4 linked regions of the Drosophila melanogaster genome follow. The main gene of each other region encodes a partner of the protein of the gene in region 4 in a complex. Each region holds a gene or a part of one and is shown on either strand. Other genes may lie near its edges. The genes, in order: PolE4, Mocs2B, Ada2a and Chrac-14.

What was found.
Region 1: Chrac-14 (region 4) and PolE4 share a complex: the UniProt entries of both Drosophila melanogaster proteins name them as parts of the DNA polymerase epsilon complex.
Region 2: Chrac-14 (region 4) and Mocs2B share a complex: the UniProt entries of both Drosophila melanogaster proteins name them as parts of the ada2a-containing (ATAC) complex.
Region 3: Chrac-14 (region 4) and Ada2a share a complex: the UniProt entries of both Drosophila melanogaster proteins name them as parts of the ada2a-containing (ATAC) complex.

What each region holds. Positions count from the first base shown.
Region 1 is NT_033778.4:22,408,381-22,415,211, forward strand, and holds PolE4 (DNA polymerase epsilon subunit 4), read left to right. Parts: upstream 1-3,408; 5' UTR 3,409-3,473; coding exon 3,474-3,654; intron 3,655-3,708; coding exon 3,709-3,995; 3' UTR 3,996-4,202; downstream 4,203-6,831. Other genes in the region: VepD (Ventrally-expressed protein D), read left to right, coding at 403-648; qkr58E-3 (quaking related 58E-3), read right to left, coding at 1,507-1,640, 1,931-2,016, 2,159-2,248, 2,307-2,671, 2,732-2,853, 2,913-3,069; qkr58E-1 (quaking related 58E-1), read right to left, coding at 4,815-4,960, 5,721-5,902, 6,028-6,129, 6,190-6,694, 6,760-6,831. UniProt on the Drosophila melanogaster protein: Accessory component of the DNA polymerase epsilon complex. Participates in DNA repair and in chromosomal DNA replication. Has a role in cell cycle progression. Required for wing morphogenesis.
Region 2 is NT_033777.3:25,123,751-25,131,491, forward strand, and holds Mocs2B (molybdenum cofactor synthesis 2B), read right to left. Parts: upstream 3,610-7,741; 5' UTR 3,597-3,609; coding exon of another isoform or gene 3,324-3,596; 5' UTR 3,314-3,323; coding exon 3,185-3,313; intron 3,124-3,184; coding exon 2,817-3,123; intron 2,693-2,816; coding exon 2,417-2,692; intron 2,353-2,416; coding exon 2,084-2,352; intron 2,025-2,083; coding exon 1,902-2,024; 3' UTR 1,882-1,901; downstream 1-1,881. Other genes in the region: vig2, read left to right, coding at 1-365, 840-1,606; Mocs2A (molybdenum cofactor synthesis 2A), read right to left, coding at 3,324-3,596; Clbn (caliban), read left to right, coding at 4,061-4,116, 4,182-4,911, 4,983-5,860, 5,923-7,038, 7,097-7,295. UniProt on the Drosophila melanogaster protein: Catalytic subunit of the molybdopterin synthase complex, a complex that catalyzes the conversion of precursor Z into molybdopterin.
Region 3 is NT_033777.3:18,250,176-18,259,104, reverse strand, and holds Ada2a (transcriptional adaptor 2a), read left to right. Parts: upstream 1-3,617; 5' UTR 3,618-3,724; coding exon 3,725-3,788; intron 3,789-3,868; coding exon 3,869-4,730; intron 4,731-4,788; coding exon 4,789-5,551; 3' UTR 5,552-5,649; coding exon of another isoform or gene 5,650-5,830; intron 5,831-5,892; coding exon of another isoform or gene 5,893-6,067; 3' UTR 6,068-6,262; downstream 6,263-8,929. Other genes in the region: Tgs1 (trimethylguanosine synthase 1), read right to left, coding at 1,497-2,897; moi (modigliani), read right to left, coding at 2,894-3,233, 3,293-3,489; Polr2D (RNA polymerase II subunit D), read left to right, coding at 3,725-3,788, 5,650-5,830, 5,893-6,067; CG12320 (uncharacterized protein), read left to right, coding at 6,406-7,545; CG18598 (uncharacterized protein), read right to left, coding at 7,627-7,761, 7,827-7,961. UniProt on the Drosophila melanogaster protein: Component of the histone acetyltransferase (HAT) complex ATAC; predominantly involved in acetylation of histone H4, including at Lys-6 (H4K5ac) and Lys-13 (H4K12ac).
Region 4 is NT_033779.5:8,433,034-8,439,906, forward strand, and holds Chrac-14 (chromatin accessibility complex 14kD protein), read left to right. Parts: upstream 1-4,371; 5' UTR 4,372-4,471; coding exon 4,472-4,858; 3' UTR 4,859-4,963; downstream 4,964-6,873. Other genes in the region: grk (gurken), read right to left, coding at 1-49; D12, read right to left, coding at 1,176-3,194, 3,252-4,142; mus201 (mutagen-sensitive 201), read left to right, coding at 5,343-5,430, 5,494-5,669, 5,739-6,873. UniProt on the Drosophila melanogaster protein: Accessory component of the DNA polymerase epsilon complex. Participates in DNA repair and in chromosomal DNA replication. Histone-like protein which promotes nucleosome sliding of ATP-dependent nucleosome remodeling complexes.

The sequences.
Region 1 (6,831 bases), on a different chromosome or scaffold from region 4:
CCACCCCTATATAGCTACACACACACATGCAGACCGGCAGGATTCGGTGGCTTGCTTTCCGAGAGTGGCAGGGGATAAACACACGCGCGACCAGGACAACAACAAAGCGCTGAGGTCCTTGTAGGAGCTCACTGCAGCTGCAACGCGGCGCAAGAGTGGGAGGAGGAATTCCGCAACGTGCGCAGGGCCTGGCAACCATATGGTGGCTTCTAAGGGTGGTACTTATGGTGGTGGCACAAGCCTCAAGCGACTACTTCGCCTTCCGGATCAGTTGTCAACTGCATAGCGGCCAGGACACACATCTAGTCAGCGGAGTAAATCAGCGTCAGTGAAAAAAGCCAAGGTGAGTGCTCGCCTATCAGTTGTGTCAAGAATCAGGCCTGAGACATCCATATCATTCAGATGATACCGCACAGCGAGAATCCTTTTTCGATCGAGGATACTTACGTCGAGGAGCCACAGTTCTCTGAGCAGTGCGGCAACAGTCGTTGTGGACAGCCCCAAACTGCGTATGAGGTCTATCAGAGAATCCTGCTAAGATTACAAGCCCAGGAACATACACGCTCCACAGAAGCCAATGAATATGAGATAAGGAAGAAGTTCTGGATAGCCAGCTTCACTGGGAGGCCCTTGCAATATCAATGTTAGTTGAACAACACAAAAGAAAACCATATCCCTGATAGAAAATATATCCAAAGATAGACAGACATTTGTTTTAAGCCTTTATTAACTTTATAGCCTTACTTTAGACATTAACAGTTAAACTTAAGCTACTTACCCATCAGATTTAAAATAAAATAATACTTTGAAAAAACCTGAAATATTTTAGTTATGCAAACTCTTTATATGTTTATTCAATGTTTTTTCTTTTTCATTTATAAATTTATAATAGTTTATTAACTTATTTTTAGACGCACTTTAAGGTCTTGATGTGATCTTCATTTCGTTTTTTTTTTTTTTTTTTTTTTTTTTGATTAAACAATGTGATAAGTTCGCACGGTTTTATTTCATTAGATATAAACCTCTTGATTCTACTGCTAGTGAGACAATTGTTTAATTACGTAATGCATATATTCATGGTAAATGAGGGGTCGAGTCATTTAAAAGAATAGGATAGTTAGATCTGATTGCAGAGAATTTATTAAATTCATTCAATGCGTATCATTTTATTACATTCATAGAAAATTACGAACTCGGGAAATCATAATTTAAACATAATAGGAATTATTTGACTTATTATCTGTTGAAATGGTCCAGAAAAGGCATGCCAACAGTTTAACATATTTATGGATATACAAATTTAAGATTAATATTGTTTGTGGGAATTGATAGCGCAAGTGCGCGTTTTATAAATATTAATGTTTATTAATTGATAGCATCATTTTGAATGCTGCTTTCTTCTTGATTAAAGTATTTTCAATGTGCTCCCAGCATGGATTTTATAACGTAAGCATTGTCCTTTGTTTTCATTTATAGCGGTGTGCGACGAAATCAACCGGAGCTCTATTATTTATATTTTTTAAGTATTGTATACGGATTGGGCTTATAGGACTTGATGGGCGGTTCGCGCATACGTTTCATGTCAGTCGGATATGGACGTTTATATGCCGCTGCGTTTGTCGGTATTATTGATGGACGTGCTATAAAATTGGTTGATTATTATTTGTAGTATTTTATGCGTGTATGTAATTACTATAAAGGAGTGAATCGTTGCATAATATTAATCATTCCAGTGTATTATATAGTTTGATCTGAGAGCTTGCTCAATCACAGTTATTGGTTTTGATAGTATGATCTAATCTAATCTATAACCCAAAGTTCCTGTCAAAGGTGCATCCCAAAAAACTGGTGCATTCAGGGGAAAAATCGATCTTATGTCATAGACCCCGGCACTACCCAAATAAAGAATGCATGCTTGGGATTAACTTACGTTTGCTGTACTCATAGCCCGTAGGCGGACGCTTGGGGGGCATACGATGTTCATACTCATAGGCCACCTCCTCCACATCGTCGACTCTATAAAAATGAAAATGTTAATTGCTGGGTTAACAGATGTTGGCTAGGATTTAAGGCACTACTATGACGCGAGGACTCTCGGTTCCATTACTCCTGGTGGGGTCATTAAATAATACAAAATTATACTTTACAAGTAACTTACTCGGGCGGATTTTCCGCAGCTCTCTTAATCAGGTTGATGTATTTGGGAGCCCCATTGCTGTTGCCTCCAAACTTCTTGTCGAAGACAGATCTGCAAAATAATATATTTTTATTCTCATGCCCAAAGGCTGCATAGGGTGTAAGATTACCTGTAGGCCTCCAGATTCGGTCCGTGAATGTTTTTGGCTGACTCGGGATCCATTTCCATCAGCTCGCGCAGCTGTTCGTGTGAAACCTCGTCGTTCTTGTCTGGAATAAGATACTTACGGATCTCGGCCAGAGCGTAGGCTATGCGGGCATAGCACTCCGCCGGAGTGGCCACCGTGCTGACCTCCAAAAATAGGTCCTTCTGAAGATGAGCATATCTCGGGTCGCCTGTGCTGCGCAGCTGCTCTTCTTTGTTACGATCGCGGATCGAACTGCGACCCTTAATGGCAATCTTGCACTGGGTCTCCTCCTGAAGGCGACGCAGCGAATTGCCCTTGGGCCCCAGGATCTTGCCAGTGAAGTTGAACTGCGCAAGGGTACGGATTTATTTTTCGAACGGAGAGGACAGCTAATTGTATAAACCCACCTTGGGATACTGCTTTACGGGCACGAAGACCTTTTGGGTAATCTTCATCGGCTTCTGCTTGTACACGTCTGCGTAGAACTCTTTTCCGGGAATACGACCAGTGCAGTAGACACGGTCCACAGCTGCAATATTGGGATTAGTACCATTAAAATACCCTGTAAAAGGGCCAAATTGATTTTACCCTCGTCGATTAGCAGTGCGCAAAGTGGAAAGTCCGCGGACAATCGCTGGCGCTCCTCGTCCAAATCGGCGAGAAACTTTTGGGCCACCTCGTTAAGACGCGGCTGGTGATCGTGGGTGGGTGGCTGTTTCTCAGTAAACTCGCTTGGGGTTTCCATTTTTATCATAACAATCTTTACAGAAAATTACAATTAAAAATGGTGTAGACTGAAAAACAGTATGTACACCAATGAACTAAAATAATGGCAGAGCTGCCAAGCGTGTGAAGTTTTCGGGCTGCCAACTTTTTTAATTCAATAGTGATTGTTTAAATGTCGATTTTTTCCACTGTGTACAAAATGTCGTGTTTGAAACACAGAAGTAGTACAATTACTATAGATTATTTTAAAAAGTTAAATCTGTTAGTAAGGAGCTTCGCCGAGAAGATAGCGGAGCTGCCACCATTTCGATTTCATACATGGTGCAATATCGATATTTTTGGCGGCTGCCTTGATACTCATCTCTAAAAATATGGTATTTGGATTGCATTCGCTTGGTTTGTTTTCAATTTTTATAGTGCGCAATGGCCAGCGAGGAACTATTTGAGGCTGAATTCTCGGAAGAACAGGACTTGGAGCATCAGCAGGCCATGGAGACTGAGGAGGCGGAGCTAGCGGAAACAGAAGAGCCTTTGGAAATCACCGAGGAATCGCCGGATAATCCTGAGGCAGAATCTACAACAGAACAATTGACAGAAAAACCAGGTAAGTTAGATGCACTTAGATAGAATTTCTCCTATATGGCTCCTTTCCTTCCAGTGACGAATGGCAACAAGGCCCCTGCTGATAACGAAGCCAAGATGACACAACTGCCGTTGGCCAGGATACGGAACATAATGAAACTAGATCCGGATCTGCATATGGCCAACAATGAGGCCGTGTTCATAGTGGCGAAGGCAGTGGAACTATTCATAGCCTCGTTGTCACGGGAATCATATACCTACACGGCGCAGTCCAAAAAGAAAACCATACAAAAGAGGGACGTGGATATGGCCATTTCTGCTGTGGACAGTTTGCTATTCCTTGATGGAGCCATGAACTTTTGAACACCCCCACAAATGAAACTGGATTTGTCGATTATACTTTTATACTTTATTTAGGGATATTCAGCGGCAAACAAATTCAGTTCTAAACGTCCTTATGGTTTTATGTTAAAAATAATATTTAAGTTATAAAACAATTGTTGATTCGCAAAGAAAAAAAAACAAAAAAGAAATCATAATTATAAACGACAACGTTTAACGTTTCACAATACTCTTTGCTATTCGGAATTTGTAACGAAGCCGGCATTTGGTTAATTTATTTAACTGCTGAATAGTGTGGTTTGTTGTTTGTTAATCATACTCTGTCCGCAGGCGATACTTACTTTGTCGTTGGGCACATACATTTGTAGTTTATATTTTGCTTTTTATGTTGGTTTTATCTCCATTATCTTATGAAACAATATTTTCAAGCTTAGTCTAAAATTATGCTTTGATAAATTAATTGTTTTGGGGGGGTTTTCGCTTGTGTTTAGTTCTCTTCTCGTATTGGCTTTAACTAGTATTAGGTTGATTGAAGTATGTCTTTTGTTTTTACAATCTTTTTGAGGATAAAATTTGTTGCATTATTGGTTTCTTGTTTTAATTTTAAACACAATTTGAATATCGGACAACAGTTGCAATAAAAATTTACGTTTTTTATTTGATTTTCGTTTATATATTATATTTAATAGGTGTGAATAGTTGGATTGTTGACTTCAAACATTTTGATATTTCGTTGGAATATATTTTAATCTTTACGCTTAACATTGTTTAGTTGTGGTTGTTGTTGTTGTTGTAGTTGTTGTTGAGGTTGGTTTCTTGGGGTTTTGGAAAATCGATGGGTTAACGTATTTTCGGATATGGAGCCGAGCGATATCGCACGCTTTCACGAGATCGGGATCCAGTTTCGTAGTGAGCAGATGAATGTGATCCCGAGCCCGAGGTGGTTGGTCGATATGACGATGATGAACGACCGTTGCTTGGTTTTGCTATTTTGAAAAGAATTTTATTTGTTGTTTAGACTTTAAATTGTTTCTTGTTCTGTCTCTGTGGTGCTGTTTTTTGGTTTTTGGTTTTTCTTTTGCTTAGCATATATACATTGTAAAAAAAAGAAAAATATATTGTTTAACCGGTTTTGAATGCACTACACCCTACGAAACGTTATTGTTTTGAGTAAAATGCATTTCGTTTCATCACGTTTCAAAAAAAGTTGTTCCACAAACCTTTCAGCTTGGATTTTATAGTTTAAGCATGTTCAAATATTTTTGGGTTTCTTGCCATGAAGTTTTATGGTTTTGTTTTCAAAGTGTGAATTTCAGTAATTTGATTGTTTGATCGATTGTTTTAATATTTTGGCTCTGGCTTCTTGTGAGTATGTTAGTAGTCGTCCAATTAATGAAGATGATTTACTGGTTGCTGTTCGGTTTAGTTGATTTGGCCTCTGTTCAGGCATAGTGCATTTAAAATCTTGTTAAAATGGGATGGGTTGCCGTTTTAATAATTTTGGTACGCGGCCTTGTTTCTTTTTCTTTTTTGGTTTCTGTTTTTTTCTGCGTTTTCAATTTATCGGCGCTTAGTTGGATAGATTTTGTTTTGTTTTCGAGTTTTTTTTTTGTTTTGATTTGCGCGAGTTAAGTTTAAACGTTTACATTGCTATTTGTCGTATTCTTTTTCTTTTCTTCATTTTGTTTATTTTTACATGCCTGCTGAGGGGAAGAGATTATTGGTCTAGAAATCTAGGTATCTTACCTGGATAGGCCGCCGCGTAGGAAGAGGAGGACGAGTGGGGGTGATACTCACGCCGATAGTCGCGCTCGTAGGAGCTACTGTCATACTGGGCGTGGTGGGTCGAGTGCTTTGATGTTTGGGGCGGCGGTGTGGCATAGCGATCATATTCTCCATGGTGGTCATATAGCTCGTGGTCCCGTGATCTGTTGAAAAAGTAAGGGATTAAAGGAGGGTTTTCTAACAATGGTTGATAACACAGATGCACGCTATTGAAAGCATAAGAATTTAACTTCTAAAGGCATCATTAACGCGATTGAACTTAGCTAACCTGTGCGTCTTTACGATCCCATAGTTGGGATCGTCCATCACATATCGAGCCTTCTCCAGAATCGAATAGACTTTGGGCTTTGAAGAAGCAGGGGGCGGGGTGCTGTGACGAAAGGAATTCCTTAGTAACCAATTAAAATTCAACGAAAATTGACAAGCCTACCGGGAACTGTAGGCGCCATGATCGCCATAGGATTTGGAATAGTGGTGAGACTTCTTGTACATGCGCTCCTTGCCATCCATCTCGCGTAGTTGCTCCAACCGAATGTCGTCGTTGGCGTCGGGTATCATAAACTTGCGGATCTCGCCTAGCGCATAGCTGATCCTGTGATAGGCCTCCGCTGGAGGGGCCACCGTGGATATCTCCACGTGCAAATCGCGGCTGAGATGGGCGTACTTTGGATTTCCGGAGCTGCGAAGCTCCTCCTCCTTACCGTGGTCGCGCATCGAGTTGCGCCCCATAACCACCATTTTGCACATAGTCTCTTCCTGCAGCTGCCGCAGTGTGTTGCCCTTGGGCCCCAGGATCTTGCCAACGAAATTGAACTTGGGGTACTCCTTGATGGGGAACAAGACTTTCTGGGCCACGCGGATGGGCTTTTCGCTGTACACGTTGGCATATATCTCGGGCTTTGGTATGCGTCCGCTGACCAAGATCTTCTCCACCTCTGCGGGGCCATGAAAAATTGCAATTAGATCCACTATAGCTTACATGTCGCAGCGCCTAACTCACCGTCGTCAAGTAAGCGCTTGGTGATGATGTGCTTCTTCTCGAGCGTCTTCTTTTCCAGCAGGCACTCCTGCA
Region 2 (7,741 bases), on a different chromosome or scaffold from region 4:
GCCGGAACCGGCAAAGGCGCCAAAGGCACCAAAGAGCAAGTCGGAGAAGGAGAACAAGCCGGTTGTGGCTGCCCGCAAGGCCAACGCTCCGGTGGCTAAAAACGCTAGTCCAGTGAAAGGCGGCAAGGGTCCCGCTGGCGGGGATGTGGGTCGTCCCAAGAACCCAACAGCAAACGGTGCCAACAACCAGGGCAGGTTCAACAACAACCAACGCTACGGAAATAAGGAGTCGAACGGAGAATTCGGAAACGAGTTGCCGCAGCGTCAATTCAACAATCGTGACAACAGGGGACCACCACGCGTCCGTACCGGCGAGAAGTTCGGAAAGCGCGAGTTCGATCGCCAGTCGGGATCCGATAGAACTGGTAATTATGTCTAGATTCTTCTGTCCTTGGTTTTCGTGTTTGCTTCTCAAGTGAATCCGTTTTTTCTGCGTGGAAAATGCTGCCCTGTAATGGCGGCATGCTGCAAAATATAGAGAAAACGCAACCCTTGGCAACAAGATTGATTACATATCGCGTATTTCTCACGTGACTTTTAGGCATTTGTAATACGCAAAACGTTTGAAAACGTGTTTGTAAATATTAATTTTAAATGATGAAATAATGAAATTACTGCGTTGCAAACTCGTGTGTTCACACATGTGTTTTCTTGGACATTTTTTTGTTTGATTTTTTTGATTTTTGATCTTATAATTTATTAATTTATTAATTCGTTACCGAAAATATAAAATTCGTTTGGTTAAACTTTTAATTTGTCTTATACGGCAAACATTTTCCCGAAAATCCTCTTTACTCATATCGATTGAAGCCTATTAATAGCTGATTTATTCTCCACAGGCGTCAAGTCAATTGACAAGCGCGAAGGCGGTGGTGCCCACAACTGGGGCTCCCCGAAGCAGGACATTGAGGACTTAAAGACGACCGGGGAGACCTCACCGCAGGCGGAAAAGGAGGACTCGGCCAACGAACAGTCGGCTGATCCCGCGGTCGCCGCCGAAGAGGATGAGTCCAAGCAGATGACCCTTGACGAGTGGAAGGCTTTGAGAGACCAGCGTGCCAAGCCCAACTACAATTTGCGCAAAGCGGGCGAGGGAGCCGCCGACAATGCCGAGTGGAAGAAGATGATCGTGCTGAGCAAGAAGAAGGAGAGCAACAGCGAAGACGAGTTGGAGTATGATCCATCGCTGTATCCTCAGCGCGTGGGCCGCCTTCAGCGCATCGTGGACATCCAGTTCAACTTCAATGATGGACGCAAGGTCGGATTCCGCAAGGGACCTCGCCCCGGAGCCGGTCCTCGCGAGGGTGGCTTCCGCAATGACGGACCTCGCGGAGAAGGTGGCTATCGCAATGACGGACCTCGCGGAGAAGGTGGTTATCGCAACGACGGACCTCGCGGAGAGGGTCCACGCAATGAGGGACCGCGTGGAGAAGGCTACCGCAATGACGGACCGCGTGGAGAGGGATTCCGTGGTCCCCGCTTTAACAACGGACCCAGCAACGGCTATGAAAACAGACAAGACAACAACAGATTCGGAGAGAAACGCCGCTCCGCCCAGAAGCCACTGAAGGTTGACGATGAAGCTCAATTCCCCACTCTGTGCTAGGAGTTGAGAACAACAATAAGATTTAATAATTTCGCGTATTAAATAATTAGTAAGCTGGTCCTTCGGTTAACAAATAACCATTAGATTTTCGGGCGCGATCTATGAAGCTTGACGACCGATTAATAAACAGAAACAAATCAGCCACGCTTATCCATATTCCTTAGTTGTAAACAAAAATTTTTGCATTTTTCACTCTCATCATTTACGCATAAAAAAAACTATTACAAATAGTTGGAATGTTGAAATAAATTTACATCAATTACAAACCAAGGAATAATAATTAATTAGGTTTTTATTAGCTTAATTCGCTGCCATCCTTAATCTTTTGAATGAATGCACTTAATTCTTGCGCCGAATACGATTTCTTTCGGCTCTTCTTCGGCGGCGCGGCTTCCATAGATGACGGTTCACGTTTGGTCTGAGAATAGATTGAATTTTTTTAGAACTGCAATTACAGGAAATGTTTTAAGAACCTACGAAGTGTCTGTACTCGGGCGAAATGGACTCCAGTTGCAGCAGTCTATTTTCCACTCGTTTGATTCTACTGAAAATGTTTTCCTCGTTGTCGGTGGTTAGACCCATGTACGATTCAATTGCCTGTAGTCGTGAATTGGGTAGCGATTTCCTCATTTCTTTGGTTGGATCCGTTTGACCGTCACGCGATCCCATTAGTTTATTCAGTTCGAGTTCGTAGTTGGGTCGCATTTCCATTTGCTGAGGTCCGCATCGGTTGTTTACTCGTCGGACTGTGATAGGTTGTTTGTAGACCAAAGTGGCTATAGTTATGAAAATAGAGCATCGTTTACCCACCTTTTAAATGGCAATTTGACTGCTCCTGCTTAATAATTGTGCTCTGCGTTCGAGCGCAGGAATCGCTCAAGTTTTGGTCTGAGCTGACAAAAGACGATTTGAAGTCAATTACATTTTGTGAGTTTATTTCGTCTCGTTTTCTGTTGACAAAACATTCTAAACGCTTGGTTAACTCAGCGTCATTAACTCTAATTTGCACCAGAGTTCGCGGGACGTCATGTGACTCCTCAACTTTGCAGGGACAAGCGGCGTAGTTGAAGCCACTTTTCGATTTCTCTACAATGTACATGCACAGATGAGAGAGAAGCCAATAAAATCGTAAACGCTCGATTGTTAATTATATTTACAAGTGTACAAATAATAAGAATACATGTCATGCTGGCTACTCATAAGATCTTACTAGGCCTGATGGACTCCTTGTTCTCCTTCCATTCGCTGTCGTTATCGCCGTCGTAGATTTCCTTTTTCCAGATGGGAACCCGAGTTTTTAGCTGGTCTATTGCAAAAGATACTGATTCTAAGGCCTCAGAACGATGTGGTGACGAGGCGGCTATAACTACACTGGCTTCGCATACGGGCACTGTTCCCAATCGATGATATATGACTATGTGCTTCAGATCGAGCCACTTAGATCGGAGATCTGAGCATATTTTATTCATTTCCTTGAGTGCCATGCTATCGTAGGCCTCGTACGCCAATGACAGCACCTGAAAGGTCGAAAAGTACAAATGAATCAATGAAATCAATTGATTGAGATAATGAAGCCACCTTTTTCCCTTGAAAATTATCGCGCGTAGTGCCCACGAAAACGGATGAGGCTCCACAGCCTTCATCGGCCAGCAACTGATGGATATGAGCGATATCTATGGGGTCGTTTACCAATTTCACGTGATCCATGGCGGAAAGGTTAGCCTCCACTCAGTGGCGGTATGATGGCGAGTTCGTCTCCTTCCTTAAACAGAATTCTATCACTCAGGTTGTCAATGTACGACTCGTTGTGGGCCAAAATCAAGTTATCCCGGATGGAGGTCAGGCCAAATTTGGACACCAGGTGGTCCAGCAGTTCGGTGGCAGTAATTTCAGTAGGAACTTCCACTGTCGACCGGGGAGTGTTTGCTAATTCACGGGATTTAGCAAAGAACAACACGTGCACGTTGACAACAGGTCCATCCGCATTCATATTTACAAATGAAGATTGGCGATGACACAGCAGTTCCATTTTCCGACTACCTATGTATCGATTTCTTATCGGAACGAAGTGGAATAGTCCACGGAAAGGGAAACAGCTGACTGAAACTTTATTAAATGCTTAATAACTTTTTAGATAAATCAAAGAAGCTTCTTACTCATTGCATAAACAATACAAATATTTAATACATAGTAATTATACAGCGAATTCATTCTGACAATCCGAATCATCAACAGCATACAATCGATATATTTTGTTTAAAGTTCGTCCATCGCAATTTACACCGATACTTAATTTCGCAAGTGAATAAAATTGTTATTATTCCCTATTAAACTAATTTAACTTATCTAACGTAGATAGCGAACTTGTGAATATTTAATGATAAGTTAAGTTGCCAGATAGATTCTTTTTTCTTCACTTTCCGTGTTGACATCGTCAACTTTCCATAAAGAACCATGAAGACACGTTTCAATACCTTCGATATAATCTGCGGAGTGGCGGAACTGCAAAAGTATGTAAAAAATCCGGATAATTCCGATGCCCAGGAATAATGGTACATCTACATTTATATTCCAGGCTGGTCGGCTGGCGAGTGAATCAGATCTATGACGTGGATAACAAGACCTACCTCTTCCGGATGCAAGGGACCGGTGCAGTGGAGAAGGTCACTCTGCTAATAGAATCTGGTACAAGATTCCATACCACTAGGTTCGAATGGCCCAAGAACATGGCTCCGTCCGGTTTCAGCATGAAGTTGAGGAAGCACTTGAAGAACAAGCGCCTGGAAAAGGTTCAACAGATGGGTAGCGATCGTATTGTTGACTTTCAGTTCGGTACCGGTGATGCCGCCTACCATGTTATTTTGGAGCTCTACGATCGTGGTAATGTGATCCTCACCGACTACGAGCTGACCACGTTATATATTTTGCGTCCGCATACGGAGGGCGAGAACCTGCGCTTCGCCATGCGCGAGAAATATCCCGTGGAACGGGCCAAACAGCCCACGAAGGAACTGGAACTGGAAGCTTTGGTTAAGCTGTTGGAAAATGCCAGGAACGGCGACTATTTGCGACAGATTCTAACACCCAACTTGGACTGTGGTCCGGCAGTTATAGAGCATGTTCTCCTCTCACACGGCTTGGACAATCACGTTATCAAAAAGGAAACAACGGAAGAAACGCCGGAGGCGGAGGACAAGCCGGAGAAGGGCGGTAAAAAGCAACGTAAGAAGCAACAGAATACGAAACTGGAACAGAAACCATTTGACATGGTTAATGACTTGCCAATTCTTCAGCAAGCAGTAAAGGTAAGAACAATATCGTGGAAATATTTATTATTGCTGTTAAAGTAAATAAAACGTTCTGTGCAATCTTTTAGGATGCTCAAGAGCTTATAGCTGAGGGAAATAGTGGAAAAAGTAAAGGCTACATTATTCAAGTTAAAGAGGAAAAGCCTACAGAGAATGGAACGGTGGAGTTTTTCTTTAGAAACATCGAATTTCATCCCTACCTCTTTATTCAATTCAAAAACTTTGAAAAGGCCACATTTGAGTCCTTTATGGAAGCCGTTGATGAATTTTACTCTACGCAAGAGTCGCAAAAGATTGACATGAAAACGCTACAGCAAGAGCGTGAGGCACTAAAAAAGCTGTCTAATGTCAAGAATGACCACGCAAAGCGTCTAGAGGAATTGACAAAAGTCCAAGATGTGGACAGAAAGAAAGCAGAGCTAATAACGTCCAATCAAAGTCTGGTGGATAATGCAATTCGGGCTGTTCAGTCAGCTATTGCCAGTCAATTATCCTGGCCGGATATTCACGAGCTTGTAAAGGAGGCACAGGCAAATGGCGATGCTGTAGCTAGTTCCATAAAGCAGCTTAAACTGGAGACTAATCATATATCCCTTATGCTCAGCGATCCATATGACAACGATGAAGACGACGATCTTAAGGATCCAGAGGTTACTGTTGTGGATGTCGACTTGGCTCTGTCTGCTTGGGCCAATGCCCGTCGATACTACGATATGAAACGTTCGGCTGCTCAAAAAGAAAAGAAAACTGTAGATGCTTCCCAAAAAGCTCTTAAGTCTGCGGAGCGCAAGACGCAGCAGACGCTCAAGGAAGTGAGGACTATATCGAACATAGTAAAGGCACGGAAAGTTTTCTGGTTTGAAAAGTTTTACTGGTTTATCAGCTCTGAAAATTATTTGGTTATTGGAGGAAGAGATGCCCAGCAGAACGAGCTTATTGTTAAAAGGTTTGCTTTCAATTACTTAAATAGATCGAAGTATTTATAATTATGACATGTTGTTATTCCAGATATATGCGTCCGAAAGACATTTATGTGCACGCTGAGATTCAAGGCGCCTCGAGTGTTATTATTCAAAATCCCACAGGAGAAGAAATACCTCCCAAAACGTTGCTAGAGGCAGGATCCATGGCTATTTCGTACAGTGTTGCTTGGGATGCCAAAGTGGTTACCAACTCGTACTGGGTAACAAGCGATCAGGTCAGCAAAACTGCACCGACTGGAGAGTACTTGGCAACGGGAAGCTTTATGATCAGAGGAAAGAAGAACTTCCTTCCCTCCTGCCACCTGACCATGGGTCTAAGTTTACTTTTCAAGTTGGAGGATAGCTTCATTGAGCGCCATTTGGGAGAGCGTAAAGTTAGAAGCCTGGAGGATGATCAAATAGATCCAAATGTTAAAGAAAACGAAGTTGAACATGATCTTTTGTCGGATAATGAAGACGCTGATTCAAATATAAATCTATCGGAACCAAGCTCCAATACCGAAATTACAGCTTTTCCCAATACAGAAGTTAAGATTGAGCACGATACTGGTCGCATTATAGTCAGATCCGACTCCGTAAATCCAGAGATTGAAGAGACTAAAGAGAGTGAAGTTGTCCTAGACAAAATTTTGAAAAAGACGGACGATGAAGAAACGACCATTATTTTGGCTGGTCCAAGTCGTAAAAAGCAAGTAAGTGCCAAAAAGACCAAGGAAGACAAGGCACGGGCGAAACAAGAAGCTGCCAAGCAGGAAGTCCCTCCTGTGAGTAGTGAACCAAAAAATCCATCTCAAGTTAAGAGAGGTCAGAAGGGAAAGCTCAAGAAAATGAAGCAAAAATACAAGGATCAAGATGATGAAGAGCGGGAAATTCGCATGATGATTCTCAAGTCATCGGGTAAGGAAAAGCCACAGGCCAGTGCCGATAAAGTGGTGGAGAAAAGTGAGTCAACCAAGGAGTACGTGAAGCCAGAAAAAAGTGCAGCTCCCAAAAACCCAGTGGAACTGGACGATGCTGATGAAGTGCCCGTCGGTGGGGATGTGGATGTACTCAACAGTCTGACTGGACAGCCGCACGAAGGAGATGAGCTGCTGTTCGCGATTCCAGTCGTTGCTCCCTATCAGGCTTTGCAAAACTACAAGTAGGCTATACTGAAAGTTCGCATAAAATGTTTATTGTAAATGTGATATCCTTTTTAGGTTTAAAGTAAAGCTCACCCCAGGTACGGGAAAAAGAGGAAAGGCGGCGAAACTAGCACTTAATATCTTCGCAAAGGAGAAGAGCTGCAGTGCTCGTGAGAAGGACTTACTGAAAAGTATAAAGGAAGAGTCGTTGGCCAGGAATATACCAGGAAAGGTCAAGCTATCGGCCCCGCAACTTCAGAAGTATCACAAATAACTAAATCAAATGTATGCAAAATGTGTTGAGCCATAACTTAAGGAAGTGTTAAAAATGCTTTAAAAAAGTAATGCCAGTTGATACAATAAAAGAGAATGTTTACGGAACTGAATATATATGTTGATTCCTTATCAAAGAGATATATATATATATGTATATATTGATTTTGTTAACGGTTGAAACTGGCTCTTATCGATAGTCTTGTTGCTGGGCGAACTTTAAGCTGGGATTTTGGGGCGCATGCGCCTCATATGGGGCCCGAGTTTGCATGTGTTTGTTTACTTCGGTTGGCTGTGTTCGAAAGTGGTGTTGTATAAGTAGATATTTTGGTGCTAAGTCGCCTGTTTTGGCATTTTGTGTACTAAAAAGTTCGGGAACTTCTCGTCATCATTCGATTCGTCGTGAATTGCCACAGTAAAAATCTACACTAGCCTGTTTAAAACAAT
Region 3 (8,929 bases), on a different chromosome or scaffold from region 4:
TAAAATGTCTTATAGAGCAAATTGGTTTATATTTATTTTTTAACGTATCTAAACAAAAACTTTTTTAACATCATTTCTGATATCATTAACTATATCAACTCTATATATTTATACTACAACTATATACTATATACTATGTACAACTATATCACTGATATCAACTATAAGTTCTGGCCTGAACTCATACGCCAAATTTTACGTATCATATGTAAATCTATTAAAGCCCACAACATTAAACTTTACATTTAACTTAAATTTAACTTTGTATACAATTAAAAACTATAATATTCAGAATATTCGCCTTACTCTTGTCAAAATATTGCCATTTTCCAACCAACTTCCCACTAAAATCCGTCGTTCGCAAGGCAGCCCACAAATCAGCGCCGGAAAGAATGCTCCAAATTTCGCTCGAGCTGCTCCGACGCACACTAATAAGTTAATCAAACTAATTGCAGTGGAAAGGAGCAGCCACTTGCCGCAACTGGTTGGGGCGCGGGGTTGGGGGATAATGGAGGAAGGGGTAAATATCTCTGTTGCCAGTTGGCAGCTATAAATTCCGCACATGCCCCGCCCACCGCCCACTGGCCACACCACAAGCCCCTTCAAGCGAACGCACCCCATCCGAAAGAGCTAAGTAAGCTGTAAGCCATGAAAAGGGTTGTTGCTTCTGGTTCCGGCTCATCGTCTGCCGTCTGCTGTGGAATGCCGAAGGAACTGCTGCCTGCGCCGCGAGACGAGCATGTTAATTGCCCCCGAACCGACGTTGCCAGGTTCAGCAGGATGCGGCTGGCTGCCTGTGTTCCATGGCTTTTGGGCCAAGTCACAACTTGTGGCACAAAGTTCTTAAAAATTGACGCACGCTTTGTTTCCTTTTGCGTTTTAATTAAAAGTCCAATGCCAGTTGCAAGAAGGGATTGCGGAACGTTATGGTTATGACCATTGACCATTGGCCAGTTGAGCTTTGTTAAGCCATCTAAATTGGCTAAAGAGCTTGGACTCTTTGGCATCGCCGGTCACTTGGCAACAATCACTGCACTGAAGGGATGGGTGAAAAGATTTTACTCTTGCGTTACATGTGAGGCGGCTTTATTCATTAGTCAACTTTTCTCCTATCTTTCTATGTGGCAAAAAGAGGGAAAAACTTAAGGCGATAAACAATGAACAAAAAAGTTGTTGACCATAGCCAACATTTTCCTTTGATCCATAATTACAGGAATTTGTGAACTCTGTGTGCTTATATGCTTCGAGTTTAATTAAAGATACTTACCAAATCATTTGTATTACATATTAGTTAAAATGCCTTTCATAGATTTATTTTCATATTATGTTATTGGCTCGTTTTGAATATGATTTATATCTAATAATAAGCAAAAAATGCCATGAAATTATGAGCCCGTTTTTTTTTTTAAATCCATTCAACTATACATATGTATGAAATTAAATATATTTATTTATATAAAAACAATGATGTTATTAAAATTACTCTCAATCGAATCCTACTCATCTTCTCCCACTGAACCCTTTATGATTCCTTTACCATAATAAGCAGTGAGCGCAACCATTCGGGTGTCCAGATAGTTGTGCTCCACCTCGCACTGCTGCCCAACTCCACTTAGAGCGACCACCTGCTTCATATTGGCGTTGCGTGGCAGAAAGAAAGCTACGTCAGATGCCAGGCTACGGGACAGCTGCATCAGTTGGCTAGCACCCACGGGCAGGAGACCTGTTTCGATATCAAAGGTGGCCTGCTTTTGGTAGTCAGGACCACCCCACGGAGGGCTCAGGAAAACCACATTTGGGCGCAGCTTTGTGCTGGCCGCAAACTGCAGAAAATCGGCGTGGATAAACTCGATCTTATGGGCCACACCATAAATGCCGGCATTATGCTTGGCCATGGCCAACTTCTCGGCATCGATGTCCACAGCAATTACGCGTCCACAGGTGTTTGCAAACTGAATGGCATTGCCGCCGCATCCACAGAAAGCATCTACGATCACGTCGCAGGCCAGTCGTCGGGCCGTTTGTTTGGCAATCTTCTCGGGTGTCACCGAGAACCAGCTCTCGCGGTCCAGCCGAATGCCCTGATCGAAGCGGGAGAACAGCGAGAATCGCTTGACCCAGTACTTGACCATTTTGTTGTTATCCTCTTGCATGCACTCTGGCATCCTGGCCTTGAGTTTTTTTATTTGCCTTTGCCGTCGTTTTTTCTTTTTAACAGAACCGCTCTGAACGCCGTGCAGAGCCTCGTTTTCGTTGTTCTCCATGGTCAACAGATCATGATCGTCCTCGCTATCGCTGCTAGATAGTTCGTACTGTGTCTTTCTTTCCTTTCTATAATTAATTATATCTGCCTTCGACGCAAATGATGTTGGCAATCCGAGAAGGCGCAGCTGTTGTTCCTCGTCACAATCCTCGGGATCGTCGTTGGCAGTCAAGTATGATTCGTCCTCCTCTTTCTCTGTGACCCTTTGCTGTTTCGATTTTATTGGCTTATTTGTAAGGCTTAGGTTCTGCAAGTCCTCCTCAACATCTTCTGAGTTTTCAGCGACGTCAAGGCCAAATGATTTGGCCAAATCGTGTTGGTAGTTCTCAAAGGCACAGCTAAATATATACCAGAACTTTTCACTGTAATCGCTGGCGTGCTTCTCCCACAGTTCCTGCCAAAGGCCTTGCTCCTCCGACGAAACCACCTCGATAAGATCTTTGTATTCGGGAAACCGCTTGTGCCACTTTTGCTCGAGCAGCTCATGCCCCTCACGCTGCCAGAATTCTTTCCAGGTAACGTTTTGAATGCCCCCCCAATTGCAATTATTCCAGTCGAAATCGTTACCAAAGAGCTGACTGAATATATAGAACTGCGGATTGGTTCGCGAGGTGGTCAGGTGGTGTGTGTTCATTTCTCGATCAGACTTCTCATCTCCAGCCTGCGAGTCAGCAAGTCCTCGGCTCTGTCGATGACCTGGATGTACCATAAGTCGATGGCCGGTCTGTAGGTGGCAAGTAGCGCGCTGAGATACTGTTTTTGGGCCAACGGATCGTTGGACAGACTATTGATCTTGTCGTAGACACCGCCGGCGGTCAGTTTGGCACCTTTGGGATGCTGCACATTATGTAGCACCACTTCACCACGCACAATGCAGTAGCGGCCGGTACTCACGCGATTTTCGACGACTTTGTCATGGGTAAGGCCAAGAATAAGCAAGGATACGGTGCCCTCGCCCAAGGAGTACTTCCTGAAAGATGCAGCATCATTGGTAAGGACCGGATGGATAGGTAATATAGAAAAACTTACTTTGGCAAACACTTAACGCGCACGTTTTCTAGGCGGTACTGATTCGCCTTGAACGCCAGACGTCCAATTAATGCGCACTGACCGTAGTGCAGGTTGTGGTAGGAAGTTTCCAGCTCCAGTTCCTCCACCAGCAGGGTCTTGAAGAAGTAGCAGTACTTGGGCGCTCTCGAGGTAGAGGCTTCTGGCACCAGGGACATAACTCTCTTGGAAAAAAACCAAGAATTCCGAACAAAATCAAAACACCCGGAATGATAAACTCAACATGCTTGCTAGTGTGACCAACGTATCTACGCACGATGCGACCCACCTATCGATAGCTTCTTCGCCAGTTATAGCCCTGCCTTTCTCATCACTAAAAACAGCGACATTTTATTGTGCAAATTAGAATTTCTTAATATAAACTTTAACAAACTGAGCAGTTCTTAGCTCACTATGTCTTTTATGAACCCCGTGGATATGGTGGATGAGGACGCCGCCGACCTGCAGTTTCCCAAAGGTAACCAACGCCCTACACCAACCGAAATGCAACTTACAAGTGAAACTGGCTGAAACCTTTGGCTTCGAGTGCCCCAAAAGTGGCACTCCTCCACATTTTTACCACACTGAATTGCCTCTTTGCAGTTGAGCCACTGGGGCCACAGGTTAAGCGGTTCATCCATGCACATCAGAATGAACACACCAGGAACTCCATGGTTTTGTATAATCCGCACACGTTGCACAGGTACTTGGAGGAGATGGAGGAAAAGACGCGGGACCAGAATAGCAGTGTTCCATCGGCTACAAAGGATGCCAATCGGTGTGCCACATGTCGCTGCAGTCTCACAGAGCCGTACATTAAGTGCTCCGAGTGCCTCGACACCCTGCTCTGCCTGCAATGTTTCTCACGTGGAAAGGAGGCCTTTTCTCACCGCAATAACCACGCTTACATCATAGTCCGCGACAACATACAGGTTTTCGCCGATGAGCCACACTGGACGGCACGGGACGAGCGCATACTGCTGAAAACACTTCGCACCCACGGCTATGGCAACTGGGAGGCGGTCTCCCAGGCTCTGGACCAGCGCCACGAACCCGCAGAAGTGCGTCGTCACTACCACGATTGCTACTTTGGCGGGATATTCGAGCGGCTCCTTAATCTGAAGCATGCGAGGGACAGCTATGTGCCCGAGCGAATGCCGTATGTCTTCAAAATGCGCAGCTTGGATCCACCACGTCATGACGACATCGCCTCCATGCAGTTCAGACTAAGCGCAGGTTACCGCTGTGCAAGAGGAGACTTCGATACTCCGTACGACACCTCAGCAGAGAGTCTGCTATCTATTATGGTGGATCATAGGGGCAGGGATGACGACAACGAGGCGTCTGAGAGTGAGTTTGAGCGCGAAGTGACAGAGGAATTGCAACTCGGACTAGTTCGGGCATACAACAATCGCCTCAGGTATGATCTTATAACAGAAAGCTACTAAAAAAAATCTAATATGCATATTTACTCACAGAGAGCGCCAGCGTCGTTACAAGATAATGAGGCAACACGGTCTCATAATGCCCAATCGCACCGTCAGCTGGATTTCCAAGTACGTGCACGCCTTTGGCAGCGATGCGAGTTGCATGCGTTTCTTGGGCTTCATGCAGATCTGTCCTGACCCCATTAAGTTCGATATGCTGTTGGAGTCTCTGCGTTATTATCGGGAGCTGCATAGCCAGCTGCACAAGCTATACGATCTGCGGGAGCACGGCGTTCGAACTCTTTCCGGAGCCAAATTATATGCCCGCTTGAGCAAAGAACGTCAGCAGGCTCAGCGAGATTACAGCAGGCTGAAGCAAACAGATGCTTTCGACTGGCAGCAATTGGTGCAGCATTACGAGAGCAACAGGAGCGGTGATCCTGGTCCCCTGGCCATTAACTCAAAGTTATATGTGATGAACACGCGTCGAAAGGCCAGTCCCATTGAGATTGGAGGTGGGAAACACTTTACTCATTGCCTGACACCAACTGAATATAATTTTTCTTTGATCCCAGATCTGCCTGGTTACTCCAAACTGGATGATGGCGAGCGAAAGTTGTGCAGTGTGGCTCGTCTGGTTCCGCAGTCGTATTTGGACTACAAGAATCAACTCGTTACGGAGCAAGCAAAGCTCGGATATCTACGACTGGCCGATGCGCGACGTCTCATCAAAATTGACGTGAACAAAACGCGTCAGATCTACGATTTTCTGCTGGAACATGGCCATATCAGCAGACCACCGTCCTATGGCTAGGGCTAATTTTTTCTCCAATGTTTCACTTGTAAATTTCCTGAATGTCGTCAAGTAACTAATTCAAGAAAAAAAAACCCTTTCGTTTCTCTTTGTTTCAGAGTTCGAAAATGCCGAGACGCTGCTGATATCGGAGGTGCACATGCTTCTCGATCACCGAAAGCGACAAAACGAATCCGCCGACGAGGAGCAAGAGTTCTCCGAGGTCTTCATGAAGACGTACGCCTACACGGATAGTTTTCGAAAGTTCAAAAACAAGGAGACCATAATGTCTGCGCGAAGGTAATGTAGCAAAACCGAACAAAGCACGTACGAGTAGTAATATTCAATTATTTCAAATTCAGCTTGCTGATGCAGAAAAAGCTGCACAAATTCGAACTGGCGGCACTGGGTAATTTGTGTCCGGAGGCGCCCGAGGAGGCCAAGGCGCTGATTCCTTCACTAGAGGGTCGCTTCGAGGATGAGGAGCTGCGCCAAATACTCGACGATATCGGCACTAAACGCAGCTTACAATACTAATTACTACTACGTATAAATATAGTTTAGATATAAAGTCATGGTCCACTTACACAATAAAGTGAAGAACAGCAAGAATTTTAAGTAAATGCAGAATATACACTGTAACAAAAATCAACAAAGTCTAAATACAATGTAATTATATCAAACAAAAGATTTACTTAAAAAAAAGTATATATAAATTGAATTTGCCGCTTGAAAGAATTGTTTGTCTAGTGTTGCCAGACTGCTCACATGAAAGAACTTATCGAAATAGCCGTCACATCTGGCAACTTGCTGAAAGGCCCGCACTTGCAATTGTTTTCTTTTTCCTAATAATTGCAAGCGAACAATATTTCACAATGAACAAGGACAACTCCAGCATGAAAATGGATCCGCAGCTAGCCCTACGCCTCCTGGCTGATGGCGGAGTGCTGGTCATCGCCGGTGTACCCGAGGGCACGGAATTCGGCATTGATCTTTGTGCCTACACCATTGGTCCGGATTTCCGAGGCGTCAAGATGATTCCACCCGGAGTCCACTACGTATGGTGCTCCTCCCGTGGTCCCTACGGCGATGCAGCCCCTCGTGTTGGATTCGTGCACTTCTTCCATCCGAATGAGATTGTCGTACGAGAGTGGGACCACGAACTGGAGGAATTGCGCCCGCGGAGGATTGCCGAACCGGAAGTGGAGCGAGACCGAATACGCAAAAACCTAGCCCAACTGGAGCGCGTGCTGGCGCCGTACGACTATCGTTACGTGGTCCAGTGGAAGGAACTCACCGGCAGCGTGACGGAGTCTTGCGTGGATCGCTGCCGTCCGACAGAAGGAACCATCCGTACGAACATCGAACTGCAATCCTGCCCGGACGCAGATCGGCCGCGAGGTGGAGCCGCTACTGTCAGCATAAGCCGCCGGAATGCTGCAGCTCGGATTCTCTTAGATGAGAGCGAACTCCTACCGGACCTTAAGCCCGTGGAAGGAACAGCTCCGCGCTTCACTACCGTACCCCTGCGTGTTCCACAAGATGCCCTGCCCGCTGATGTTTCCCGCCATGCCTTGGACTGCATCGATGCTGTTGACAAACTGCTCGAAGGCTTTGAAACGGCCGATGGACTCATTGAGGAACTGCAGCTGGCTTACGCATTTTTCCTAGTGGGCTACTCTGTGGAGTCTCTGGCCCACTGGCGCAAGCTTTTGGGCTTGCTGGCTCACTCGCAAACGGCGGTCACCAAGCACAAGTTAACGTACATGAAATACAGCGAGGTTTTGGCCCACCAGCTGCCCCATCTGCCCGAGGAGCTGATGGTGCCTGGTCCGCATAACACCGTCTACAAAGATGTACGCGAACTGCTGGTCAATCTGCATGCGGGCGGCTTAAGTGTCAGCGCTGAGCGGCTAACTAAGCGGCTGGAGAAAAAATTGGGATGGGAATTCGAGGGCCTGCTAGACGAGGATCCCGAGGACCAGCCTGTAGTCATCGAACTTCCGGAAGCCTAGGAGAAGGGCGCTACGCATGTGAAGTGTAATTCATATATTTGTAATACAATGGACTGAAACTGATCTATATTGATTTCTACTTTAACGCAGCGAATGCTGGGTGCGCAAGTAATTCCACAGATCCCGAGCCGTGCGGATGCTGACCATGAATTGGCACAACTTGGTCTCGATCAGGCAGAGAATCAAGAACTTGGCCCGCTTGTCCTTTAGCAGGGACTGCAAGGAGTATGGCATGGACATGGGTTTTCTGTAGCCATAAACGGCGCCACACCATCACTCACCTCCTCGTTGTTCTCGGGACCATTCTCCACCACCGTCCAGAGTTCCTCCGACTCCAGATACGCCCGCACCGTCATCGACCAGGCCTTGTAGTTGTCCAAACCTTTGAGCTTCTCAATTTGCAGCTGCAGTGCCATCTCCGAGACTCGAGCAACGTTTCGCAACTAAACCGCATTCGGGCCCTTTGCTGTTTCCTTACCTTCGCCTCTTCCAGCTGTTGTCCAGATTTTTAAATATAGATATCTTAGTATTTGTATCTGTATGCACACGGCTTTTCCATTGTGCACATCAGCAAACTGAAAACAATGGCCACTAGACCCACTTTTCGTGTTGCTTCTGGCCCAGCTATACATTCAGCTTAAGTGGACACTTCTGATTTGACGCAGAAGCGCTGTCGCTTTATGTGCCTGCCTGCTTGTATTTTCCGATGACCACAGAATTTAGTTTGACATATATTTCTTCTGAGCAGCAGCAGTGCGCCTTCTAAGCTCGCATCTTTTGGATGCATTGACAGGTACGAATCTTCATTTTCTGTGGCTAAGTCTTGGTTAATAATTAAAAACTGAATGTGGGATTGATCTCGATTCGAAGCTATGCTTGATTAGCAAATGATAATGATAGAAGAAAATGTGTTTGAAAATCTTTATTGAAAACTTCATTTAAAAACTATGTAAAATTTCTCTATCATACTGAACGCGTGAAATCAAGAAAGATGCATGATTGAAAGGATCACTTAAAATAAATCCGTCAAAATGTAAAACAAACTAGTTTTATTGTTATTTATGGTCGACTTCCAAAAAAAAAACTAATAAACTAATAGAGAAACTGCGTGCCGATAAGGAAAACATTCGGTTCCTTTCTATATTTTCAATCTTTCTATGATTGACTGTGACCATTTAAACAAGCCCATAAAAACACGAGCCCCAAACTCAATTAATAATAAATTGTGTTGCCCAATTGTTGTTTTGTTTTTATGATTTTTATTTGAAATGAATACGAATGTCAGTTTTAGCTGCTGGTTTCTTGTATTGCTGTTGTTGTTACGTTCAAGAATGTGGCTGTTGTTTTTGCTGCCTCGGCTGATTTATGCTTAATTAACTTTCTG
Region 4 (6,873 bases):
AGAGCACGAAAATTACTTTGAAAATCCGAGTAAATGGGATTTGCATCATTGGAAAACGCTTGGGGTGGCGCTCCGAAAAATATTGATTGGGTGGACCGATTGTCCACCACTAGGAAAACTGAGTCAATGAAGGGGTCTAAACGATCGAGGGATCGAGCGGCGTGCTGGCCGCAAATGCAATTTGGCGTCGCAACAGAAGCTGAAACATACTACACACTTGCATCTCCTTGTGGATTTTACTGCAAAATAAAAATAGAACATTTTAGCGCCTCCACATTTTCTGTCGCACGAACGCACACACACGAAACAAAAAAAAAAGGAAAAGAAATAGCATTCAAAATTGGTGATCCAAAAGCTTTTCATAGATTATCTTAGACGTACTGGAGCTGCTATATGGCCTGTAGAAGGCTTCGACATTATAATTATTATAATGACTCGTGAATCATTTTATATATCAGGCAAGTAATTAATTAGTTAATCTAAAGAGCAGCAAGCGCGGGAAGCGGGCTCTTCTCTGCTCCACTTTGATTTTAGGTCTTGTTGCGCGCACGTCGGAAAAGAGACTGAGGAAAACAGAGCCAGAGAAACAGATGGACCTCATCCCTACATTGGCGGCATTGGCATGCGCCATGAATGAAATCGATCGGTGAGCGGGGAGAGCGAAGAGAGCGCCCCCAAAAGAGATGCGATTGCGACCGATAATAGTCGAAGAATCATATGGATATGCTAAGAGCTGCAAAAAAAAACCGCCCTTTAACAGTTATTCAATTTGTTAACGGCACTTTTCACTGCATACTTCTAGGGCACTATAAAGATATATTACTCTGTGAAGATAGCTGATAAGACTTAAAAATGTTTACATGTTTCGTACAAATATGCAATTGTAGCGATTATTATTTATATTGATAAAACAATTTAAAAGTCTTCAGCCAGATATTCAAAATTTAAAAATTAATGACCACTCATCTCATGATTTCGTCCAAAATATGATAATCGTTGATAATTAAAAACGCAGTATTCATTTCTTCGGACATTAATTTAGTTAATTTATTGCTTAGATTTATGCTTACCAACGAGTACAAGGCTCTAATTAGATATCAACTAATATCCCAGTAGAATTTGAACTATGACGCGGACTTGATAAAAAATAAATTCAAAACAATGGCAACTGCACATTAGATTTGTGGTTCTATCGGAGCAACTCCCAAGTGACTGTTTCCGAGGAAATCCAATTCGGAACACAGACTGATGACACGGCCTATGTCCTGAGGTTGGAGACACAACGGAGCATTGGCCGCCGCCGGTGGCAACTGTTCCAAAGTCTCCTGTTGCAGTTTCGCCGCCAAGGAGCGGCGCACCAATTTCTCAATAAAAGTGCGCAGCACTTGTCCGAGCATCGAGAGAGCCAGTGGCTGGGAGACGCCAGGCGGAGATTCCTCCGGTTCCAGTGTGATATTAATGTCCTTGCACATTTCCTGGACCAGCTGCAAGGTCGAATCCAAGTGCTTCGGCGGAGGTAGATAAAGTAGTTGGCGATGATTCACCATTTGGAAAGATACATCTGCTGAGTTTGTTAACCTGGACGCAAGCGGATGAGGTTTGTCCACACCCAACACATCGATGAACTCCTTATCCCGCATCTGTTGATCATGACCAAGCAGACGATCGGATTGCTTGGTTATCCAAGCTTCCAGCCGATTGCCTGAGCTGAGACTGCTATAGGCCGACAGTTGCGGTTGGGGCTCGCCCTTTAGTTGCGCCTGAACACGCCGAGCCAGTTGCTCCTCATCGCTCAGTTTTTGTTTTCTCTTTTCATGCACGACAGGTAAAACATCTTTGAGAGCTGGCGTATAACCATGAACCCTGGCGAACGCCACTATCTCCCGTAAACTCCAGTAGTGTTCCTTTCCACTAATGTCCAACTTATGCAGCTCGTGGTGCTGCATCAGACAGCGACGGAGCATACGTGCGCGCAGGTACTCAAAGCAACGTTGTTTTAGAGCAGTGTGATTGTGGAACTCTTCGAGGGTTATACAAGTGAATGGATACTCCTTTTGCTGATCAATCGACGCAAGCGGGAGGCGGCTCAGCAGGAACTCCACAGCACTGCGCATATTTCGGAATTGTGCACTTCTAAAGATGTGCTCCAGCCTTCGGGGTCGCGATTGTATGGTAGTGTCCACAATTGGAGGTAACAGCATTGGCTTTTCCTCCATCTCGCCGCTCATGTTGGCGTACCCATGATCGTGCTGCATGCACTGCAGCATATGCCATCGCGTTTCTGACGGTGGCTTAAGAAGACTCAATTGTGGTTTCAGCAGGGATTGTTGCTTTGCAGCCTGCTTAAGCTTGCGCTGCAAGGGATCGATAATGTACAGCTTTCCTGCTCTCTGAAACACAACATTCTTCTTGCCCTGGTGATGGCCATTGGGCACAGGCTTTATTGGTGGCCGATCCGACGAGGATTCCTTCCACGCTCTCTGCGGAGATGCCGGTGGATAGTGCTTTACTGGCGAAAACTCCTGCCGCTGCCTTTCTGGCAAGGATTCCTGCCTAGGACTTCGGCCGTTTACTGGCAGATAGACCACAGAAGGCTTCGAAGCGGTGACCTGAGCCGCATTTAACCGAAGTTGAGTCCTAGGAGGCGATGACGGAGTGGGTGGCTGCTTTCTTGGACTGTAGTTTAACTTCAGGGGCTCTGAAACCAACACAGTTGGTTCAATTTTCTCAATGTCGTCGCTGAGTTCAATTTTGTTGATACCAGCAAACAGATTGTCATCAAGTTCCTCCTTATTTTGAGTGATTGAAATGGTGCGCGGTTTGCATGACTCTCCAGGAAAGGCGAAAACCGAAGGCTCTAAAACATTCGGAGCAGCCAGAGGTGGAGCAGGAACTGCAGTCTCCTGTTCATGGGGAGGATGAGGTTTGCCGCTTTTCTGTTTCGTTATCGCCTGTTTTGCTCTCAGCCATATTTCCACAGTGGTCTCTGCGCCCATCGTGTGCAGTCCACACATTGTTTTATCCAGCACCACCGTGTGCATTAGTTGCACGGGTTTCTGCTGCAAGTGCTCTTGGAAAAATAGCTGGATGCGCATCGGAAACTCGCCCCAACCATGTCGGTTAAGCTGAAACGGAGACCTGTGCACGTCCACGATGTCGTTTGGGCGGTATGACGGATGGAGGTGGAAGCGCACCTAGAATTGCGAAGAAGAGATTGAATCACTCCGTACGTGCTTATGGGAATTACTTACCTTTTTAATGTATTTTTCAAGTGGTTCAGGTAGATCTTTGCCTTGCACATAGACCAACCACTTATAGGTCAAAGCATTCCCACCTGTGCCATTCTCTCGAGAGTCTTCGCCAATGTATTTGGAAGTATTACCCACCACGAAGTTGAATTTGTTCTTGTTATTCAGCCGCGAGGCATTCAGCTCCACTTGCCTTTCGTGGGCCTGTCGGCTGGTGCACGGCTGCTCGTCCTCCAACTTAACGGAAATGGGAGGTTCCTGCTCTGGCTGATCTTTTTTGTCCTTGGAGTGATCGGTTACGATGCCCTGCTCCTTGATCTTCTGTTGCCGCCTTCGTTCCGCCCGACGATGAGCCGGATTCCTCAGTCGGATGGTTTCTTTGGCCAAGGTGGCCGCCGTGCGCTCTGGCAAATGATTTTGGATGACAACAGGGCGCTTGCCAACGATTTTTTTAATGGCTGGATGCAGTGGCAGCTGCGGAGCGGCTATGTCGTCCCCAAAAAGGCTGTCGCCGCGCACTTTCGCAATATCCGCGCCGGTGAGGGGGACCTGCTGCTTTCGGTAATATTCGCTGACCACCTGATAGCGTAGTCTGTCCAACAGTTGTCGTCCTTGCAGCAGTCGTCGGTCGATCTCGGCCAGCTGCTCGACCTTCTGAGAGATTTCGCGCTGGAACTCCAGACGAAGCAGCTCCCGGATGCGCTGAAATTTGTCGGACAACGGCAGCATGCCATCCGACTGTTCCGTCTTGGTCCACTTTCTTTGACCGGGCGACTCGGCTTCTGCGCAGGTTTCTTCCTCATCCTGGCTAGAAACTTCCGTTTGCTGATAATCTGGATCGTGGTACTCGCTGTGCCTGCGTTTTTTTGGCGGCGTCGCTTGTTGCTGGTCCATGTGCGTGGTAGCTGGCACACGCACAGGACTTGTATCACGTTAGTTCGGAGGGGAACAGCTTCAAGTTTGGCCCGAATCGCTCCGTGCACATTTAGGCCGGGGTAATTGGCTGTTATTTATAAAAATGTGTAAACAATTGATGCGAACGAGGCGGCGCAAACAGAATTGAGTGGGGGAGTTGCCACATCGCTGGTGTAGATGCGTGCACGCTGGCCTTGTCCAACACTGTTCAGCCAGCTGTTTACTCTTTACGCGGGAAGCAAAGACGCCGAAATCTAGACGGAAAATCAAAAGTGCCCACCAAGTAAAAGCAGATAAGCAGCAGCAAAATGGTCGAGCGCATCGAGGATCTTAACCTGCCGAATGCCGTGATTGGCCGGCTCATCAAGGAAGCACTGCCGGAGTCAGCTAGTGTCAGCAAGGAAGCGCGAGCAGCGATCGCCCGAGCGGCATCTGTGTTTGCCATCTTCGTGACATCCTCGTCGACGGCGTTGGCCCACAAGCAGAACCACAAGACCATCACGGCCAAGGATATTCTACAGACCCTCACCGAGCTAGACTTCGAAAGCTTCGTGCCCTCTCTGACGCAGGATCTCGAGGTCTATCGTAAAGTGGTCAAGGAGAAAAAGGAGAGCAAGGCCAGCAAGAAGGATTCCAACACTGCCGAAAATGCCAACGCCAGTGCCACCGCAACAGCAGAGGAAGCCCCCGAGTGATTACGAATAGGAGAAACTATACGGATCAATTATCCTCTTCAGTCATTAAGAACAAAGCTAGTATTGAGCATTAACAAAAAACATTAAACATAGGCATTATCTAAGAACTTCACTTGTGTTTTGTCACTTTCCTCAAAGACTAAATTATGTTGTTAGTCAACGTTTACATGGGATTAATTTGGGATTGTAAGTGACGGTTGGAATTACACCCTTAAATAATGCCGCATTTCAATCCAGTCCGATCTAGTTTTTTACGCCTTCATTCAAAGTATATAAAGGTGTCAGAATAATATTTAAGTATTTCAGTAATTATTTGTTTATATATGTGATCAGAAAATCACTGTTTTAAAAATCATCCAGATAGATAACCGCGTGTTCTTTCCAGCACTGGAAACAGCTGTTTAAAAAAGCGCGTCTTATCGCAACAAAAAGTTTAGTTAGTTATTATTTTGCATGTTTTATACAATTAATATTTTAGTAGAAAATGGGAGTTACGGGCTTGTGGAAGCTCATTGAGCCGTGCGGCAAGCCAGTCCCCGTAGAGACTTTGGAGGGCAAAATCCTAGCAGTGGGTAAGCATCGTTTTTCGCCACCTAATGAAATACTTGCTGATTGGAGTACTTTTCGTCCTGCAGATATATCGATTTGGTTGCATCAGGTTGTGAAGGGCTTTCAGGACAACAAGGGATCGGCCCTGAGTAATGCCCATTTACTGGGTCTATTCCATCGTCTCTGTAAATTGCTATACTATCGTGTGCGACCGGTTTTCATTTTCGATGGATGCGTGCCGCAGCTTAAAAGGGACACTATTGTGAGTTATAATAGGGGAATATATCAAATTCACTCTCTAAATTAAATCCTCTTTATGTCACCCCTTCAGGCACGTCGCCAGCAGCAGAGGAATAAGCTCAGCAACGAAGCTGATCGCATTCAGGCTTTGCTCCTTCAATCCCTGGCCAAAGAAAAAGTAGTGCAGCAAGCGCTGGGCAAGAATGCAGAGCTACTGTTGAAATCCCCGGTTAAGCGACCGCCTCCAGCTAAGAAGAACGACGAGGATGACTTGTTTAAGCTTCCCGAACTGCCGGCTGCATCGGTGCAAGATAATCAAGATGAAAGCGAGCAGGACACCAGTGCCAGTGCCTCAGACAGCTCCTTTGACGAGTCAACCGCTCGACATTCTTACAACTCTAGCTTACAGGCCATCGATGTAAAGAGTCAGCATTTTCGGAATCTGCCAGCCGATGTGCGACACGAGATCCTTACAGACATCAAGGAGACGCGCAAGCAATCGTCGTGGGGCCGTCTGCACGAGTTGCCCGCCCGCAGCGATGACTTCTGCTCCTTCCAGATGAAGAGACTCCTCAAGCGCCGAGCCGTTCAGGAAAGCTTAGAGCAGGCGGAACAGGAGATGGGCGGACATACGCTTACCTATGCAGAGTTGTGTGACTTTTTCAATGAGGAGGGCATTCTCACCCCAACGGCCATTGAACAGTGCACCCGACAAATTAGCTCGGATGAACATACACGATTCCTGCTGGTCAGGGATCTTAAAAAGAAAGCAATGGAGAGCACCAAACAAGAGGTTAAAATGGAGATGATTGAGGAGGTACCCGCTGAGGAGGAGGATGAGAAGCCAAGCACTTCCACCAAGAAAGAGGCTGTGAAAAGTGTGGACCTAGGCACAGAGTTCGATGAAGATTTGGCCAAAGCACTGTCTATGTCAATGGAGGAGACCAAGGTGTACGATGAAAAGGACTACGAGTACGACTCGGACCAAGAGTTGCGCCTCAATCGAGCTCAAACCAAGCAATTGCGCCATGCGGCCAAGGGACCTGCACGGGCCTATATGATTGAATACGGCGGAATGAACGACGAGGAAGTTGGCAACATCATGGAGGCCACTCAGTTCAATGACACTCAAAGCCTTGAAAAGTTGCTAGAGATCACGACAGTCCCGACCGACATGGCTGACAACTCGATTGAGGAGGCCAAACTTATTTCACAAGCTATTGAAG